Drosophila melanogaster: one gene and its partner. The protein of the gene in region 1 interacts with the protein of each later gene in a pairwise test. Each region holds a gene or a part of one and is shown in the gene's direction. Other genes may lie near its edges.

Region 1 (3,682 bases):
GTCTGGACAATGCCGAGGAGGGCGGCGACGAGGACTTCGATGAGTTCTAAGCCCACATCCCAACAATCCCAGCCAGACTTCAGTCATTACAATATCCAATAATTATGTGTAAATAAATTAACCAAGAGTTTGAATCATTATGAGTTTCTTTGGACAAGGGATGAGGATATGGTTTATAAGACCAGGATTTCAGTTAATTAAAGTTGGTTTAAGCATTTAAAGTAAAAGTAAACTAAAGATCCTATAACAATTATATTCGAGTACGAAAAAGAAAATATTCCCTTTTTATAGGACAATATCTAATCCTTCCACAAATCCAGTAAAAACACATTCTTGCATTAGTTTTCTGTAATATTTTTTTTTGTATTTTTTTCTTTAGTTTTATTTTTGTTGTTTGTTTGGTTGTTTATTATTTTTTAACGCCTATTTGCTATGTTCTTTTCAATTGTATTTTTTTGTTTTACTTAATTTTACTAGATTTTGTTTTGAACTTGCAAGTATTTTGCGTTTTTTTTTTCTTTATGAGCTTACAATAAAGAATCATCAAAAAGTTGTTGCACAGTGTAAAATTACAATTTTTTGTTGTTGTGTGTGTGGGTGTACATGTGGGTGTGTTTGTGTGAGTGTGTGTGTTTTGAGTGTATATCTTCTACGGTGTTAATCTACAAATCTAAATTTCTCTCTAAGAGCAGGCCAATGTTTACACCAATCAACTGGGAATTTATCGTTCGTGTTAACTTGTAAAATCAGAAAACGGCAAAAAGTTTGTTTAAACAAAGAACTTACTATACAAAAGGAAAGGCATTGCATTTGTGTACTTTTGTATTGTTTTTTGCGGTATTTAGTGTTATTTTTTATGCTCCTATTTAGTATAATTACACAATGACGATTTCCCATCTACTGAGTTTGCATTTACTTTAATTACAATAGTTAATCCATAAAAAATATATAACGATGATGATGGCAAAATATGTGGTTTCGAATTGTTGTGTTTGTGTTGAAAATTGCATTACAAATTGCTATTAAAGTGGGTTTTTTTCTCTTTTCATTTTGCTGTGGCTTGCTAACGGTGTTCTGGTTGCTGTTTTATCAAACGTTTGCTGGTTTTTCTGCCGATTGTTTGTTGTTTAGTATGGAACATTTGAGAAGAGATACGAGACACTCTCGCCGTTGTGTGTCCTTCTGACGGCCTCGGCGAACATCATCGAGACATCAATGCACTGAGAAAAAAAAAATAAAAATTATATTCACATCTAAAGAAGCATATATATGATATAACCCACCTGGATTTTGGGACAGTCCCGCATGTGTCCATCCTGCGGTATGGTATTGGTCACCACTACCGCCTCGAAACAGGCATTATTGATCCGCGAGATCGCCGGACCCGAGAAAATGCCATGCGTCAGAATAGCATACACCTTGGTGGCTCCCGCCTCCACCAGGCGATCGGCGGCATGCACAATGGTGCCGCATGTGTCGGCCATGTCATCGACCAGAATGGCAATCTTGTCCTTGACATCACCCACCAGTACCATAGAGGCCACTTCGTTGGCCTTCTTGCGCTCCTTGTGTATCAGAGCGAACTCCACGTTCAGTCGATCGGCAATTGAGGTGACACTTAAAGTGAAATATTAATAGCATTATTAATCTATTACGCATATGGATTAAAGACTGCAACTAACCGCTTGGCACCGCCAGCATCGGGCGACACAATGATCGAGTTCTTCCACTCGGGAATGTTCTCCTTGATCCACTTGAGTACCGCCGGCTCGGCATAGAGATTATCAACTGGTATATCAAAGAAGCCCTGCGAATGGAGAATTTATCGAATGAGTTTTAATTTAGCCATCCAGTAGTCATTGCCAGTTGACACAGCTGCCAGTCATTGGCAGAGAGTATGTCTATCAAGCATTATTGTCTGAAACATATATGGAAGCTAGACTTGCCAAAATAAATTTACAACAGAAATTAAAAAGCAGGTAAAATCCGAAAACCCCAAATCACCCCTTGCTAAGTATGGAGAACGAACAGCAGAATGACCTGAACCAGTGGCTAAAGGAGCAGCGCATTATCCTGGATCTGAAAGCTCGTCGTTCATTCTCCGATGTCTTGCCGGTGGCAAAGATTGTCAAGCGCAGTCATCCTCGTCTGGTGGATCTGCACAACTATACGCCCAAGAGCAGCGTGGCCCTGAAACTCCAGAGCTGGCAGACCTTCAATCAGAAGGTACTGAAGAAATTGGGCATCAATTTGACACGTTCGGAGCTGGAGCAGCTGGCGTCAGCAGCGCCAGGAGCCATAGAATCACTGTTCCATGAACTAATCGCGGTGACCAAGTGCGCTAGTCCCAGACCAAGACCCCGTCTGAGTGTATCGCCAACGAGCTCCCAAAAGAGCGTGGTGATTAAAAAGTTGGCTAACAAGAATTCTGTGGTACGCACTCTCAACCGATCCCTCACCCAAGTGATTGAGCGCTCCTGCTCGATCGATAGTCAACCCCAGGTGCTGACCATGGACGTGAATGTTGTGGTCAATGGACAGATGAAGAAGGTATCCAAGAAAGTGGTCGAGTACGAACACTATGCCAATGCTATTAGGGAGAGTGCCGAGAAGTCACGCTACATCAATTCCATTGCCGAGAGGGCCAATCACCTGGAGAACACAATTGCCCTCAAGAATGAACGTATTGATGTGCTACTCCATCAAATGGCCAAACTATCCGTGAGCATTCTATCCATGCCACACACCCTCAACGGGACCGATGACGACACAGAGCTTCAATCCCGGTCTGACAACGCCGCCGAACCCTGCTATGAATTCGGCACCTTTTAGCCAACGGATGGATTTGTCGGTTCTCCGAGGATCCGGCGAGATTATAGCTCCTCTTTTGATTCAAACCTGATGTTATTGGATATATTTGTACTGTATATTTTGTAATTTATTTTAAACCCTTAAATAAGTATTTCTTTGGCCTCACTTTAATAAACAAAAATTGTTACGTCGTTCAAAAGGAAAATCACACTTTCTTTATCGTAATTAATTGACTGATATACAAATCGCGGCACGATAAGAAATCACTCTAATATCAAAGATAAATATACAAATGTTGTTGATGGGCTGACTTACCTGAATCTGTGAGGCGTGCAGATCCATGGTGATGATGTGATCCGCTCCAGCAACGGACAGCATGTTGGCCACCAATTTGGCCGAGATGGGCGCACGACTCTGTGCATTGGCCAGCGTAGAAAGAGATGCAAAGGAGAGGTTTCCATTAGCGCAACTAGTAGTCAAGTTTATATCTTAAGGCTAGGCATTTATGAGGAGGTAGTAGTAGTAGTAAATCATGGAAATCAAAACCGAACATGGACCGAACAACACATATGTATAGAGACAGAAATCAACAAAGAGAGGTTAACGTTCCAATAGATTGCATATGAAGAAGATACATAATTCATGGACAGAATAGAGAATTCAGTTGCGACAACACAAAGGACACAAATGTGATTCGGTGCAGCAGAACCTGGGAAATAATGATTTTCAGATCCAATCGATATAGATGATATATACATATATATACCCAGATGATAGATTTCGATTTAGAGATACAGATGCACAGATAGATTGATTGTTAAGATGCTGCAAACAAGTGCAAAGAAAATTGAACCATTTTCAAATTATTTTT
Region 2 (3,930 bases), on another chromosome or scaffold:
CATTAGAGTATTCATCTTGCGGCGTGTGAAAAATTAATAAGGTAATGATTGTTGAGTGCTTGTGTCCGCACTTCGTGCCTCAAGATATGAACAAAGCAAAGACACTAGAATAATTCTATTGTCTTTGATATTACTTTTGCAATTTCATTTAATTGCATATTTAATTATTTAGTATATTTATTAAATCATTTGACTTAATATGATGTAACATTAACATTAAAAGTGTTTCAAAAAAAATATTTAGCTTTTAAAAAATTGTCAGATGAGAGAAAAATTAGAATTAAACATAAATATAAATGTGTAAACGGTAGCTAATTCGAGCGGCAATTTTAACAAACAAATTTAAAAAGCTTTAAAATTATAATAGTCAGGGCGCGAATTTTAAAAAATTTTTTTATTTTATCATATTGCTAGGAAATTGGCAAAAACTACCCTAATATGTACCATGTAAATTCGTTTCTTCGATCAGAATTGATTTCGGCCCGAAAATCGTCTTCTAGCACAACACGCACACTTATACGCGTTCTCGTCTCTTGTTTTTACTCACACAAGCAAGCAAATTATATTTTTAGGTTTCTTACGCTCTCAGCGGGAGTGAGCGGAAAGAGAGTAATTTTGGCCGTCACCAAAAAAGTGGCTGCATAGTGCCAAACCAATGTATGGCCGTTACGCATCTTGTTATTCTAGTGTCTTTGATATAACTCACTGCCGGTCCAATGAGTCGTCGTCTCATTGTGAACCGGATCCGGATGTGGATACAGCTATGGCCACGTTGACAAAATTGGGCTGCAACGCATCTCAAAACGAATGGTAAGCTTACCCACCCATTGTTGGCCAAAAACAGCACGTAATGGTGTATTAATTAAACTTCGACCCTTCGCCCTTATCGCTTTTTGGCAATGCCATGACACAAGTGTGGAAAATTGCTGTGTTTCACATACATAAGTTCAATGAGTAAGCAAAATGCCTCTAAATACGAAAAGCATATATTGAATGACCAAAAAGCAGCTGAAAAGATTACCCATCGAATTCTGAAGACTTATTTTATTACATGGTTGCTGTGTAAAAGTTTTCGCTTTGTGTGGCTATGCAGTGGTAAAAATTTACTTCTTTTCGGATGTCAGCATACTATCTTGGTTTCATTTCGATTCTGAAGAGCTGGAGAGCAGAAGTCATTGCTCCAGGACGAGGTTAGCTATCAATCAGGGTTTAAGAATTAAAGTCGTCGTGGGGAAACCGGGGTAAAACTCGCTGCTCGACAATCATTTACCGAACAGCTTTTGGCTTTCACTTTTCACACATACCGCAATTAATTTCCGTTTGATTGTTTGTCTCTGTCCGGACTCCACATTCAAAGCCCCACCCGGAATCCTATTTGCTTTCCACACGGCGAATGCGATTTAATTGCTTTGGGACCCCTGCTCCCGCGACTTAAACTCAGCTCTGGTGCTTTTACTTTGCTTTTCCTCTCGCCCACACCCGCACTTTTCCCACACTTTTCCCACACTTTTCCCATACTTTTCCTGCACTTTTCCCGCATTGCACCTGCAATCGTAAATAAAGAGCTAAGCGTGAACATGAAGGTGAGGAATTGCAGCTGCAAATCGGAAGAGGAGGAGGCTGCCGTGTCAACAACTTTGCCGTGAAAGTTTTATTTGTTCAGTTCATTTGGTGCTGCTGGCAGAAGCAAAACATTATATGGCACATTCATAAACACCCGTGTTGCCGGGCGATGTCAAAAAATTGTGAATGGTATGGGGATTTTCTGAGGAAAACACTAAAAAAAAAAATCCTTGAAAACTTTGTTTGCCTTTTTGCACTTAAATAGTACACTTACTGCACTTACTTTAAAGTCTAACTTAGAATGTGCAGTGTCATGAATTAATGAAATAGCCATAAGAATTATTAATTTACCAAAATCTTGAATATTCGCGATATTTGTGTCTCTCATTTCATCGTCGAAACAAAATGTACCAGCTGGCTTTGAAAAGAATGCCAGATTAATGTCATGGCTCATTTCATAAGTTAAAATCATCTAGGTAGTCAACACACACAATCGACACAAAATACACACACACCGTTTAAACAAAAGTGAAAAAAAATAGAGGAAAATCGAAAAAAAAAAGAATCAAACAGCGAAACAAAAATCATAACTTGGTATTGTATCTAGCTAATTAGAGAGTTGCACTAGAATCGCGTGCGACTTGAACGTCGAGAAGTGTATAACAGATCCCTAAGCAGCACATCACTGCACCAGAGTCTCATTGGATCGCACCGAGCAAAGTACAAAATTCGTAGGTTCAAAGTTCAAAGTTTACGGTTTCCGAAGGACTAACCGAGAATCCAACCACGGACCATCCCGTCCAGAAGGCCAAAGGTAGCAACCAGCAACGAAGCTTCAGTATTGAGCCACTTTGATAACTGCTTCCAATCCGATTTCTTTTCCACTTTTGATAGTTTTATATTCAGGTGAGTTAATTATCACTTATAATATAAGTATTGTTGTTAAATATATATAAGAAATACTTTTCGGCTTACTAGATCCAAATAATTATAAATACACTCAGTTAATTGGCTGCATTCGATATTTGCCTCATAGATATCCCGAACCGCTGCCCTTCCAGGATGGTCATCAATCTGAATCCGTCCACCTCTTCGAACGCCAATGCCAGCGGTAGCAGCGTGGGTGGCGGCAGCGGTGGCGGCAGCGACGGTGGCAACGGCGATGGAATGAGCAGCGCTGGGAGCCAGAGCGGCAACATCATTGGCGGAAACGGAAGCGGAAGCGGAAACGGTAACGGTAACGGTGATGGTAACGGTAGTGGCAACACCGCCGGAAACGTCAGTAGCGGCACCCCCAGCAACCTGATGGGCATCATCAGCCATGAGATGTTCGATGGTATCGTCTATCTGCATGTGGTATGTGCCGGTGAGTCAAGCTCCAAGTGGGTCACTCTGGAGGAGGCGATGGCCTACTGTCCCAGCGGCGTTGTTGCCTACACCAAACTGCAGCTGGCCGAGATTTATGGCATACCGATGGACGTTCTGTTCGACTGATGGTGATGCATAAACCAGATTCTTCGTTGAAGCGATTGCAGTGTACCGCACATGGACGATGGTTTTGATGGATTCTTGATTAGCTCCGTTTGGCTTGTACGGTTTATAAGCTGGACCATGGCAACTGTCATTTGAACTTTGGCACTGTTGGCAAAATCTAGGAATTCAGTATTCGCCAAATACGTGGCATTGGCAATATAACGTCGATTGTTTTTTCTTGCTACATTCCCTGCTCTAAATTTTAAGTTCCTGGCGTTAAGTGATTTTTCCGAAGGCAGCAATTACTAGAAATAGTATACGAATCTGCAAGGTTATTCCGTAATTAATTGCAAAAAATAAAAAAAAATAATAATAAAATAAAGGAAATTTATAAAGAAATCTCTATGGACAGTATGGGTGCCATTTACCTTGGTCACTGGCCGCTTCACGTGCCCCTGTGGCATTTGTCAGTCGACTCGGAATGCGGGGGTGGAAGATGAATGGACTGAGCGGAAGTTTAAGGAGCCTTTGCCACGCAGACACCACACGGCGTATGCGTAATGCGGCCAGCCCACAGAATTTGGGCATTTCAATTGCAAATTAGCCAAAAGCCAACGTCAACGGTCACCACGCCCACACCGACAGCCGCCCCCTTTTGAAGTGCGTCTCGACTTTTCTTTACCATTATTTTTCCCTCTTCTGCGAGTGTGTGTGTGTGCGTGGCAATTTGAATGATTTATGTTGATTGCGTATAATTGCATGTTGTGTCCTTGTCCGCCCCTTTGTGCCCAGGTGCGTTTGCCGGCCACGTGACAAATTCAAATCCCCGTCACCGCTTTACACTCCCTTTTCGCTCGCTTGGTCGGTCGGTCGGTTGGTTGGTTGGTTGGTTGG

The links.
Region 2: the proteins of CG16719 (region 1) and CG9106 interact in a two-hybrid assay, tested with the Drosophila melanogaster proteins (2 studies listed by BioGRID).

The regions. Positions count from the first base shown.
Region 1 is NT_037436.4:9,683,239-9,686,920, forward strand, and holds CG16719 (uncharacterized protein), read left to right. Parts: upstream 1-1,932; 5' UTR 1,933-2,016; coding exon 2,017-2,832; 3' UTR 2,833-3,012; downstream 3,013-3,682. Other genes in the region: alphaTub67C (alpha-Tubulin at 67C), read left to right, coding at 1-50; Prps (phosphoribosyl pyrophosphate synthetase), read right to left, coding at 1,128-1,220, 1,284-1,617, 1,683-1,807, 3,127-3,225.
Region 2 is NC_004354.4:15,270,526-15,274,455, reverse strand, and holds CG9106 (uncharacterized protein), read left to right. Parts: upstream 1-2,050; 5' UTR 2,051-2,469; intron 2,470-2,541; 5' UTR 2,542-2,625; coding exon 2,626-3,057; 3' UTR 3,058-3,420; downstream 3,421-3,930.